Linked DNA regions of Oryzias latipes. Each later gene encodes a partner of the first gene's protein in a complex. Links are inferred from orthologs where the notes say so. Each region holds a gene or a part of one and is shown in the gene's direction. Other genes may lie near its edges.

Region 1 (3,666 bases):
TCCAAAAGTTTCTCTCTTTCCGTGCTCCCAAGGCCCGTCCGAGTCGTTATACTGGAACCTCCGGGCTAAGCTCGGTGACTTTAGGCGGTTCCGTCCTTCCTGATCTGCTGGCGGACTCCCGTCATCGGTGTGAGGAGCTGAAGACTCCCGCCTGTGAGGGGTGAGCACGCCAAACCGACGACCTCTGTGGCGGAAACCACGGGGCTTGAGCACGCTCCGGTTTGCGCCGCTAATTACGCAATCATTTCAGTTTGGTTCCAACGACACCCTCACGTTGGAGTGTTTGGACTTCCTGTGCCTAACAGAGACCGGGACACGTTCCTTGGACCACATCCACCGAACCAGCACCAGAAACCAGAAACCAGAAATTTAAAAATATATTTTTTAAGACGCAGACTTACCACAATTACAAAAACTAATTCAAATAAAACAGTCTAAATAAATAAATATGTCAAACATTAATAATCAACTAACTAACAAATAACTAAATACTAAAAAGATAAAGCATCTCTAGATTTTTTGGATCTAATCCCAGCATACAACCTACAAGCTAAATAAAGATTTCTAGATCCACTCTGCTCTCCAGCCTTTTGCTTCAGCTGTTGGGTCCTTCCAGTCTCCATGGAAACCTGCTTTGGTTTGTGATATCCGTGTTGCAGGGATTTATAGATCTTCAGACAAACAGATTGTATATTTGTACAAATCCCTTTTGTGTCTGAGCTTTATTTATTTTATATTTTATTTAACGGTTCCAGACCAAACCAAATGGGGCGGCTGTGGTGCAGGGGTAGGGCGGTCCTTGGACAAGAAACCGAACCCCACCTTGCCTCATGGTGGAAGGTTGGCGCCAACTTTCGGCAGCGGAGCCGCCACCAGTTTGTGAATGTTTGTGTGTGACTGTAAAGCGCTTTGGGCCTTCGAGGAAGATAAAAAAGCACTATATCAGTCTACGCCTTTTACCGTTCACCAAACCCAGAGTCCTGCTTGCTGAAAGGTTTCCACAGCAGCAGGAGTCACATGGACACGACCTGCTGAAGCTCACAAACACACACAATACACGTTCTTCAAACACACATTTATTCACAAGAGAACACCTTGATGAACTGTTTCTACATGTAGGGTTTAGATCGATAGATCCTCTCTTTGTCATTGCCACCATGTTTAAAAAGTACCCTTTGGTCATTGCCTCATTTAGTCATTAAAGTACTGACTGACGGTCCGACACTGCAGACATTTATGAATCAGACGGAAAAACGATGTGGATTTCCTGTTTTTACATTGAAATATTTCCATAAACTCAGTACTTGACCTGACAGATGCAGAAAGGAGAGAAGAAGTTCATTTACCTTCATCAAATCTGCGTCTGTGTTCCCTGCCGGACGCTCCAGCAGACATGATGGACAGATGTGTTTCCACTAGAGGGCGCCATCAATCTAGGCAGACAATTCAATGGAAGTTTGGACTTTCCTTCTGCTTACGGTCCAGGGTGTGTTGTTGGTCTGCGGTTTGATAGCAGATATTCCATATATTCTATGATTCACTGCCGTGAAGCTGACATACGTGTTTTTAAAGTCATAGTTATTCTGTGTTTATTAACATTAAATTGATGTCCAGATGAAGTTCCTGTGTGTTTCTAGTAAAAGATGGGAAACTGTAGTCTGACTTAAAAAGTCAGTTTTCTGCTTTTATTTTGAAGACTGTCAGACCTCTCTGTGACCAGAGGCTTTCCTCCAATCCTGTGGAGTCTGAGTGAGTCACTGTGCGGCGGTCAGGGCGGCGCCTCCCTATAAAGCTGCTGCTGCTCCTGCTGCTCCTCAACTCCTCCTCAGTGCACTTCTGCTTCTGCTCTGCCCTGTGAGGTAAGATCTAACGGTTCTGCTCCGTCTCCAGTTGTTCATGATTTTCTGTCGCTCCATCGGCCTGAATGTTCTTGAGGAGGGATCTGTGTGATCTAGATCTGTGGTGGGCTTTTCTAGTTGAGACTTCCTTGTCAACGATTCAACTTTTTCACAACTTTCCTTTTTTGACAGCAGATTTCTGCAGACTTTAGCAGTTCGTTGGGAAACCGTCAGACGATGTGGCACTTTTTCCCATTTCTGTGACATTTTGCATCTTTGCTGTGTGGTTCCTCTATAGGGAGTGTGAGGAAGGGTGTGGTTGGACTGTGGGCATGTTTTCACATGTGTTGGGCTTTTCTTCTGTCCCCTCTCATTCTGGGCTTCAAACAGTCCTCAAAAGACAAACAAGCATCTGGATGCTTTTACAGAAAGATTACTGTGATTACAGTGGCATACAGACTTTTTACTTCTTTATATCCCTTCTATTGCTATCCATGCCATTCTATTTTTGTTAATGTTCTCAAATTTGAATCAGATTTTCCCCTTAAAAAACCCCATAAGTTTCCTTAAACCTTTTTTTGATGGCTCAGCAAATGATGAAAATGTTCAACGCTTCCTGCTGCTCTTTTCAAGTCTCAGAACGTTCCAGCATCATGCCTTCAGAACTGGAGAACGCCATGGAGTCCCTCATCAAGGTCTTCCACCGCTACGCCAAAGACAACCAGCTCAACCGGCGGGAGCTCCGGGAGCTGATGGAGAACGAGCTCTCCAACTTCCTCAAGGTGCAGAAACCGGCGAGGAGAGGGCTGAATCTGTGGGTTGGATTGTGGGCTGACCCTCCTTTACCTCTTGCAGGCTCAGAAGGACCCCGCCGCCGTAGACAAGATCATGAAGGACCTGGACGCCAACGGGGACGGCCAAGTGGACTTTGAGGAGTTTGTGTCTTTGGTTGTTGGACTGTCGGTCGCCTGTGAGCAATGTTACCAGATGGAGATGAAGAAGCGAGGGAAGAAGTGAAGAACAATGGGAAGAAACCCAAAAGCATTTCAATTTTTGTTGTAAAGATTGTTTTATCCATTAAAGAAACTGGACTGTCAGCTGTTGTGTGTGTCTGTGTGTATGTGCTGTTGGTTAAAGCTGCAGCTGAGACCAGGAGACTGCGTCTCTTTAAAGAGGACAGGGCAGGTAAACCTTGCCCCCTCCCTTCCATAAAGTCCTGTTTATCATTTCCCTGAGGAATCTGCTGACTGACTCAGCTGATGTTGAAACTCTCAGCTTTGTGGAGCGTTCAGGAACACTGAGATTGGGCAACGCGGTGAAATGTGCTTCTGTGTCGCAGCCCACTGCAAGAATGTGGAGGGCCTGAGTCACATGGAGATCAGCCCTTCCATTTTCTCACAACATCCGTTATTTGCTGGATTTGGTGAAATCCAAGCAAAAGGAGAAGAAACAACCAGCTCAGCTTATTCCATAGCAACTCATGCCACCCGCGGCGGGTCACCGAATGCCGGAAAAACTAAACCCAGGGGTTAACGTCTGCACGCTCGCTGAGCTCTGTGCACACATTTATGGGCGGGGGCCAGATCTCGGTTGATCATTGTTCGTGGTTACAGGGCAAACACTGTGGTTGCTAGGTTACGGGGCTCTGACTGTGTGTGTGACTGCAGAGGTTCACACCCACATCCCACACAGCTGAGTTCATTTTTCCAACTTTCCTGCTGTTTGTTTGTTTTAGGATGAGTGAGCCGCACAACTCACCACCGTAGAGATCCTTGATTGTATGAAGAAACTGAGACTTTTGCCTCAAATCATCATCCTACACTCAGTT
Region 2 (4,048 bases), on another chromosome or scaffold:
CATTTTTCTGCCACAAATAAAAGCCCCACCTCCACTTCCCATCACCTATCTGTTTACAAGCAATATTGGTGAACCAGCTGCCATGGGAGGAGGAAGACGAAGACCTTCATGGATCTATTTATCTCTAAGCGGATGCATCAGAATGGAGCGGAGCAGGAAGCTTTTGATTGTATTTTCAGTATCAAAAGCGGTCTTTTTTTAAACAGCATTGTTTTCATCTGCTCCTGATTCACAACAATCTAAACAAAGAAGTACCCAGAAATGCTTCATTTTCTTTATACCGTATTTTCCGGACTATAAGTCGCCCTTTTTTTCATAGTTTGGCAAGGGGTGCGACTTATACTCCGCAGCGACTTATATTAGATATAAATTGAAATAAACACATTGTTAACCCTCCTGTTATGTTCATTTGTGAGGAACAGAGATTCCTGGCTAAATTTGATGTATGAGGTATGTTAAGTGTTAAGAGTATGTTAAGTGACTCAGAGAATCAGCAAACCTTTTTTTACAGTAAGATCTTGAAGGCTAAAAACATAATATTCTATTTTCCAATGATTTCATAGATTCAGAAATGCAATAAAAGTGAAAACTGTTTCTACAAATACAGGATGAAAACAGAGTATTAGTTGGCCAATGATGATTCATGAAAGGATTAAATAAATAAGTACGAGAAAGAATTACTGTGAAATTATGAGATAAACAGTCTGCTATGATTGTGTCATATGAGGTTGTGAAAGTTATTAGTTCTTGGTCCCAGATTTTGTCAAATAAATTTCCCATCAAAATGCGACTTATAGTCCAGTGCGACTTATGTGTTTTTTTCTACTTTATAATGCATTTTTGGGCTGGTGCGACTTATACTCCGGTGCGACTTATAGTCCGGAAAATACGGTAAATGTCCCCCACCTTGAGGGTAAAAAAAGTTCCACAAGTACATGTTAAAAACCCCATCGGAGTGGGTCTTTAGACATTTCATGGTCTTTTTACATAAATTAATATTTGTCATGTTATTATAATGACACAAATCTTCTAGCCTTTGCTCATTTCTAAACTCTGTTCTGCACTTGTTGTCTCTTTCAGCTGAAGAATGCTTTTGACAACCTGTTTGAAGGTTTGATGGAGAGTAAAGACGGAGAGAAAGAAGCCGCTGAGGCGAGTACTGATTCCGTGTTTACGTCAGTCAGCTGTTTCCTTTTTGGGATTGGATCATTTGGATTTATATCCTGGAAAACAGTCGATATAAAGATTTCTGTTTTTTTTCTGTTTGTGTTCTTCATTAGTTCAGTCTTTTTGTTTTCTAAAGTCTCACTGTTCAGAAATTTTTCACCTTAAATTGGCATCTAGTTGGAAATAAACACCTAGCTATTTTAGAGATGCGGTAGCATGAACAGAATCAATTTCCGAAATATTGTAAAAAAAATAATCAATTACATTTATGACCTTTAGAATCATCTAATGCTAAATTTTAAACAAAGTTTACAGTGCACACGCTCAGGAAACATGAGTTGCTGAACCTGCTGCTTTTTTCAGGAGAAACGTCCAATGAACTTAAGATCAACCGGCAAAAAGTCTCTAATTTTATGCCCCAAAAGTGATGGCAGTTAAATAAAAACATTTTAAAAAGTAATTAAAGTAGTCGGCTGATGAGCGAAGAAACTATAATCCTTATCAAGGATGAAGAAAGTGCAGCGGCAGAACCTGGATTCATCTTTTCATGCCCAAAACATTAAAGTCAATTATATTATTTGTTAAAAATGTCTGTTCTGGATCCAAAAAATAGTGGGGTGTTTGCATAAATCATTTAGTTGTTGCCAGGCAGAAATGTGAAGAAAGTAAACAAATCGTAGCGATCGCAACAACCGACATCAAAGCTCAGTCCAAATATTTCAAATAATTTAATTATAATATGTCTTAAACTCAGATTTACCACCAGATCTATAAGGTGTGATCACATTTTAACTTTTAACAAGTTCATATAAGTAGGAAAAATGGTTATTATAATGATGATAGAGGGCAGAAATCCTTCATGGCAACAATAATGTGATGTGAGAAGAATAACAGAATTGATGTTTTTCCCACAAATTGCTTCACAGCTGCATTAAAGGACCAACAGTGATTTATTTTTTATTTTTTAATCTTCTCTGCAGTCTGTGGCCACGCCCCTCCTGCCTCACCAGAAACAAGCGCTTTCCTGGATGTGCGCGCGAGAAAACAAATGTGCGCTGCCGCCATTCTGGGAGAAAAGAGGCGATCTGTACTACAACAGCCTGACGTGTTTCTCCTCCAAAGAGATCCCAGAGAGAGTGCGTGGGGGGATCCTGGCAGATGACATGGGACTGGTAAGCCGCTCAGATGCTAAAACAACCGTGTTTTAGAAAAAAGGCCACAGGGTGATGGAGTTTCCATGTTTCACTCCAAAGGCATGAAGGTTAGGATAATTGGAAATACTAAAAAATGCCATCGAAACGACTGTTGTTGTGATTTTGGGCTATACAAATAAAATTGAATTGAATTGAATTGAATCCATAAATGGGATCGTAAGCGTGCAGGATTAGGCAAACTAAAGGGCACATTTGAATTGTAGATGTGTCTTCTCTGTTCTGCTTTTCAGGGCAAAACTCTGACAACAATCGCCCTGATTCTCACCAACTTTCACAAAGGGAAGCCTCTGCCTGTGCAGAAATGTGTAAGCATTTTTTTTAATTCTTATATTCTCACAGCATTACATTAATGCAACAGTTTTTATTATTATTTTTGTGTGCACAGCAAGAACGGCCCTCACCTTTCAAGGTTAAAACTAAAACGGCAGAGGCCTCCAGACGGGAAGGTAATCGTCCCGCCTTTCATGTCATTTCAAAAAGTTTCGAGGAAGCATGACGTGGCGTTTATCTCATGTAGATAAAGCAGCAGGAGCAAGCAGTTCAAAAGGAACTGATCCCGGCTCAGAAATGTAAGCATCTTTTACTCCTGACACCAAAAACTTGTGATGTTTGTTTTAGCTTAGAAAAAACAAATCCTGTCAAACATAATCTGTGAATCAGAGTAAACCTGGAGGAAACATTCGACACGTCTGAGGTGGTGGAGGTGAAGGAAGAGAAGCAGAAAAGTACGAGCTTTCACATCTATTTCAAGTTATTCGGGTGTTTTTTTTTGTACTTTAGTTTGACCTTATACCTTTAATTTTGTTTTTCAAACTACAGAGTTAAAGAAAGGCAAGTTGAAACCCACAAAGCGAAAACCCGGTAAAGGTGCGTCTCCACTCAAGTTGTGAGCTTACATGTCAAAATAAAAGCTTGATAAAGCTTTTTGTGATGAAAATTGTATTTTTAGTGCAACATTCAGTCCCACCCGCACCCACAACAGCTCCTGCCGCTCTGCAGAAACTATGTCCTAAAACGGCAAAGGTTTTTCGAAATTGGCTCAAATCGGCATAATGATATTTATGGTGAACACTTTAAAAACAGAACTACAGATGATCGGAGTGGGACTTTAAACGTTTCAGTGACAGAAATGTCAGAAAATAATACATATATCATAGCTGACGAGCACTTTTTTAGGATCCGAATTGACTGATTCTCTCATCTTCTGTCTGTTGCACAGAGGCTCCGGTGTTGCTGGAGGACCTGGACTTTGCTGCAGCTCTAAGTGGTTCATCAGACACAGGCCCAAAGAAGAAGAAAACCTCTCAGAAGTCCACCCTCAAAGACAGTAAGTTGTTGCTGGTTTGCTTTTCAGTGAAAGCGAAGCTCAGACTGCGTGAAATTCCTCTTGCTGTCTGCAGGTGTGGAGTCTTCCTGTACCTCAGACTCGGATGACTCGTCGGCAAGAGCCACTCTTATCGTCTGTCCTCTATCGGTGCTCAGCAACTGGCTGGTACATAAAAAAACAATTCATCAAAAAAGAATGTCAGTCAAAGCGGCTTTTCAGCTTTCCTCCCTGTTATTTTCCTGACTTTCTTCTTGTGCAGGACCAGTTTGAGCAGCACATTCACCCTGACGTGAAGCTCGGCGTGTATCTGTATTACGGATCCGATCGCAACAGGAGCAAG
Region 3 (4,582 bases), on another chromosome or scaffold:
GACCTCAGAATACTTAATGTTTTGGGAAATCCTCATGTATCCATAGATATAGCTCCATATTTTTGTCCTTTAACAATTCTTTGTGCCCTTGATTTCTTTTTGGCCGTGTGCAGTTTGCAGACACGGTCAATACTTTGCACAGCTTGGTGTAGTCGTCAATAGGCAGCAGGAGCCCGGGAACTACCTTCTGGGGGGCGGGGAGTCCAGACAGATGGAACGTGTGGACCACGGGCCTCAGCGCTATTACAGGTTACAGGTGTGAGAGCCAGAAATCTTGCTTGTTTGTAGACGACCAAATACTTATTTTCCACCATAATTTACAAATACATTCTTTAAAAATCAGACAGAGGGATTTTTTCCCCTCATTTAGTCTCTCATAGTTCAGGTTTACCGATGAGGTAAATTACAGGCCTCTCTCGTCTTTTTAAGTGGGAGAATTTGCACAGGTTGTGGCCGACTGAATACTTTACTGCCCCACTGTATATCTGGTAGGAATATTTCCAACATTATCAGACTATTGGGTATAATTGATTATAATAATTACATATCAGACAAAAGTTTCATTCTATTTGTTGATTATTTAATGATTTATTTAGAATGTTTAAAAAAGAATGGAACCATGAGGAAAAAAAAGAATTTGACTCAGTTTGATGTTTTGACGTTGTGACGTAAGCCTGGCTGTGAAAGAGGTCTAAGGGTTGGTGGAGGTGGTGGAGGCGGGGCAGACAGTGGATTTGTGCTAACATCAGTCATACACGAGTTGCAACAGGGACTTGGCTTCACTTGTTACCATGGTAACAGCAGCAGACTCAACGATGACAGATGTGTCTCTAGCCCCGCCCTCCTTTGTATCCATGACTCCTGATATCAGTGATGCCCCTTTCTGGGGTGGTTGCCTGTAGGGCTGTAGGGAAGGGCGGTGCATTGCCCATTATGACCCCAACAAGGTCTACCCCCCCTCCACCCCCGCATCCCACCACTCCCACTTTATGGCTCTGTCTGGTTACATCTGAGCAGAATATGACCGCTCCTTAGAGCATGATGGGAAAAACCAAATGTTAGAGATGCTTTAGAAACCTGAAAAATGAAAGTGCTGCTCCTTGGAGTCTTTCAAAATAAAACAAGAAGTCAAATTGATTTGAATGTTTGGATTTTATGAAGAAAGCTGAAAGATTTCAGTGCAGTCTGAAAAAGAAACAAAATTGTTGTAAAAACTTTGGTAATTGTTGTGATTTGTTGCATTTGTTTTTACTAAGAAATGTTTAAAGGAACTAAATTAAAGTTAGTAGCAAAGGTGGGTCAAATCATGACACAAAACGCCCATCTTTTTCTTGTAGCTTTAGTTAAACCGGCTCATCTCTGACCTTTTGATTAACCAGCTGGATAAAACATGAACTCTCCATATCTGGCGTGCTGGACTCTTAACCAGCTGGTCGTCACCCACTTCTGACCTCCAAGCCGTGCCGTGGAATTCGTTGCGTTCCACCTGGTGTGTAAAAGTCTGCCGTGAGTCATGACCGTCTATAAAGAGCACACCCTGCTCCGTTCTGGACCATAACGCCGCTGCTGCTCGCTGCTTCTCTGCTGCTGCTTGTCCGAAGGTAAGAAAATCCTTCAAAAACTCCAAACTTCTTCTTCTGAGGACGTTTTTCAGGTTTTCAGTTTCAAAACACCTAAACAAAAGCTTTTATTTTGAAAGTTGATGAATAAAACTGAGAATTTAGGTCATGTTAAATGATTCTGGACTGGGTTGTTGTACAGTTATGTGGAACTTTGAAAGCAAACATTTAAATTTCAAAGGTAATCTGAAGCTGCAGTTAAATTAAATTCAGAGCAACTAAAACTTTGAAGGCATAAAACAGGGAAAATACTGCAGGTGACTCTTACAATACTCGTACTGTGAAACATTAACGTGTTCCACAGTCAGCAGTCGCCTTTCTGTCGGTTAGTCATTCACTGATGGTTGCAGGGACGAGGTGTGAAACGCCTGAGTCAGCAGGGCGGGTTAAAAGTCCACGGATGAGGGTTCAGCGTCAGATAAGATGCAGGGGAGCATCAGGGCGAGAGCGGCACTCCCAGCCAACAGCGGTGGAACTGCCCCTCCTGACTATTTGCACCGATGGTTGCCAGGCGGCAATCGTCCAACACCTCCGGGGGCAGGTTTTCAAGAGGGTCAAAGGTGGAGGGAGCTTTCTTATGATTACAAGGAGTCATCACATTCCTGCAGGCGGGGCTGCATCACCACTGACCCTCCTCTTCCTCAGACACGCCCTCATCCCTCCGTGCAGATCAAACTTCCGGGATGAAACCCGGGGGGAAATTCTCTCGTGTTAAATCATCGTTTGTGTTTTAAGACAAACAGTTCATGTTATTTTCAGAAGAAATGATGCTGATGGAAGTGTCTGTGCTGCAGGAGAACTCGTCATGGCTATGGTGTCCGAGTTCTTGGGTCAGCTGACGCTGGCGTACGGAGGGGTGAGTCTGCGGTCAACACTCGGCCCACGTGGTCAAATCCTCTGAAACTCCACCCATCAGGCGGAGGCTCTGAGGGCCCACCGTAAAGCTGTGAACATTTGCAGGCCTCAGTCTGGAGAGCGTTTGATTCCCTCCTCAGTGCAGAAGTTCTGAGGAGTTCACGCTCACAGCTGAAGGTCGTCTTAGCAGATTCAGGAAAAAGATCCCAGAAAGTTCCAGAAAGGCAGTGAGACCGACGGGGCCAAGGCCGTGACCACCGTGAAGCCCTCCAATCACAAACTGGGAGGCGGAGCTTCGTGGGGATGTTTCCCGTCATGTTTGGAATTAGATGCTCTCCTGTAGAACTTTGAACCTCCTCACATGAGCATTTATGGAGAGACGATCATAAGGCTGAGGGCACTGTGGAGGAGGTGTCATGGTATGGGGTTGTTTTTAACAGACTCCAGGCTGGAAACTGTTCAAAGCCAATTTGAGAAGTTGAAGTTCCAGCCATGGAAGTATGACTCTGTCCTGGAGAACGTCTCTGGTTTGACCTGAACTCAAACAGATCCGTGATCATAAACGATCCATGGAGCCAAAAATCCCAAAGGTCTTCATGATCCTGAGTCCAGAGAGCCGCCACGGCGTACCGCCTCCTGCAGCAGAACCGTTCTCCGCTCAGTCCGAACTAACAAAGCTGAGGAATTCAGGACTCGAGTGCAGACCTAGAGCTGGAACTCGAAGCTGTTCCACACATGAATGTGAAATCTAAACCTCCACCTTCATGGTAGACTTAGGCGCTGATCTACGCCTCTCTGCTCCTTCCACGCCGTTTTTCTGTGAGCGGCGGGCGCAGAACTTTGTGCTTCGGCCGCAGACGGTTATTGGACCTCCTCCCTGTTTTCTGCAGGAACCTGAGCCCAGATGTCCCACTGTGGTTCCGGTGAAGGACTTTGACCCGACTCACGATGCTGCCAGAATCGATGCTGCCATTAAAACGAAAGGTGAGGAAGGGCGGGAGAACCGCCACACCTGAAGGGAACCAAACCTGCGCCACACAAGCACTTCCTGTCTGAACGCTGCAGTACAGCAGAAAGATTTTTGGCGTCAGAACGAAGAAACGGGTCTGAGACAGAAATGATCTGCGGTGCAGAAAAACTCCAAACCCAGAGAAGGAAATGTGCTTTTGTTTTGAAATGTCAAACCCCAAAGTGACAGTTGGACTTTACTTTGAAAAGCCCGGCCTTTAAGGTTTCTTTTCAGCTGCTGTACTGATTTTTCATTTTATATTTCAGAGAGCAAATTAAGGTTTATATTTCCATTTAAACACGTTCTCAACAGCAGATCCAAAAATGAAACTTGATCTTTAACCAAAATGTCTCAAAACCTTAACAAACTTTAGAGAAAAAACATTTCAAAGGTTTAAACTGAAATCTGTGATTCAGTCTGTATCAGATTTTATGCTGGAAGTGTGAAGCTGAAAAAGCAGCAAAATTCAAAGCAAGACAGAAAAAACTTTTAGAACTCCAATTGATTTAAAACAAGTAAAGGCGGTTCTGATCCATCCGTTCAGATCCAGTTCAGTCGATCAATTCAAAAACCCAAATCCATGTGAACTGAGCTGAAGTATTCTGATCATGTTGATGATGACATCAAGTTCTTCTTAACCAGAGGATTTTTAAATCATAAAAAAAAACAGAATGTTTGTTTTGAAGGCAGATCCTGTGTTTTTCTGGGCTGTCAGGAGCTGCTAGGGTCAGAATGTCTGTGGCTGACTTTGTCTTTTTAAATAAAGTTAGAGCTCGTTTCACCTGCAGGAGTGGATGAACAAACCATCATCGACATCCTGACCCGGCGAAGCTGCCAGCAGCGGCGGGAGATCGCCTTTGAATATGAGCGAATGGCCAAAAAGGTGAATGGACCCCCGGGGCACAGGCGGGGGGCCGTGGCCGTGGTGGTGGGGGTGGGGGGTGGGGGGTAGATCCTTATTCTAATCTGAGATGGAACTGCAGATTCCACTGCAGTAAAACCTGTCTTCCTGTTTCTCTGCTCCTAGGATCTGTCCTCCGCCCTGAAGGGGGCGCTCTCTGGCTCTTTGGAGGCTCTGATGTTGGGTCTGATGAAGAGC

Evidence for each region.
Region 2: the proteins of protein S100-A10 (region 1) and hltf are in contact, whole or in part, in a crystal structure (PDB 4HRE), measured with the Homo sapiens proteins. The link is inferred for Oryzias latipes from reciprocal best matches to the Homo sapiens genes S100A10 and HLTF. Residues at the interface, in NP_002957.1 of Homo sapiens: Phe42, Asp58, Leu59, Asp60, Gln61, Gln70, Ser74, Leu75, Ala77, Gly78, Leu79, Ile81, Ala82, Tyr86; in NP_001305864.1 of Homo sapiens: Thr32, Phe33, Phe34, Pro35, Phe37, Phe39.
Region 3: the proteins of protein S100-A10 (region 1) and anxa2 are in contact, whole or in part, in a crystal structure (PDB 4FTG), measured with the Homo sapiens proteins. The link is inferred for Oryzias latipes from reciprocal best matches to the Homo sapiens genes S100A10 and ANXA2. Residues at the interface, in NP_002957.1 of Homo sapiens: Phe39, Gly41, Phe42, Asn45, Gln46, Ala51, Lys54, Ile55, Leu79, Ala82, Cys83, Tyr86, Phe87, Met91; in NP_001002857.1 of Homo sapiens: Val4, Glu6, Ile7, Leu8, Lys10, Leu11, Ser12, Leu13.

Annotation. Positions count from the first base shown.
Region 1 is NC_019869.2:1,215,708-1,219,373, forward strand, and holds protein S100-A10, read left to right. Parts: upstream 1-1,813; 5' UTR 1,814-1,859; intron 1,860-2,471; 5' UTR 2,472-2,491; coding exon 2,492-2,620; intron 2,621-2,693; coding exon 2,694-2,855; 3' UTR 2,856-2,935; downstream 2,936-3,666. UniProt on the Homo sapiens protein: Because S100A10 induces the dimerization of ANXA2/p36, it may function as a regulator of protein phosphorylation in that the ANXA2 monomer is the preferred target (in vitro) of tyrosine-specific kinase.
Region 2 is NC_019880.2:5,874,325-5,878,372, reverse strand, and holds part of hltf (helicase-like transcription factor), read left to right. Parts: intron 1-1,080; coding exon 1,081-1,152; intron 1,153-2,147; coding exon 2,148-2,339; intron 2,340-2,611; coding exon 2,612-2,686; exon of another isoform or gene 2,687-2,766; coding exon 2,767-2,827; exon of another isoform or gene 2,828-2,898; coding exon 2,899-2,950; exon of another isoform or gene 2,951-3,041; coding exon 3,042-3,106; exon of another isoform or gene 3,107-3,200; coding exon 3,201-3,248; exon of another isoform or gene 3,249-3,600; coding exon 3,601-3,708; exon of another isoform or gene 3,709-3,781; coding exon 3,782-3,873; exon of another isoform or gene 3,874-3,967; coding exon 3,968-4,048. UniProt on the Homo sapiens protein: Has both helicase and E3 ubiquitin ligase activities. Possesses intrinsic ATP-dependent nucleosome-remodeling activity; This activity may be required for transcriptional activation or repression of specific target promoters.
Region 3 is NC_019861.2:37,474,744-37,479,325, reverse strand, and holds the start of anxa2 (annexin A2), read left to right. Parts: upstream 1-1,431; 5' UTR 1,432-1,601; intron 1,602-2,413; 5' UTR 2,414-2,424; coding exon 2,425-2,475; intron 2,476-3,364; coding exon 3,365-3,458; intron 3,459-4,271; coding exon 4,272-4,366; intron 4,367-4,510; coding exon 4,511-4,582. UniProt on the Homo sapiens protein: Calcium-regulated membrane-binding protein whose affinity for calcium is greatly enhanced by anionic phospholipids. It binds two calcium ions with high affinity. May be involved in heat-stress response.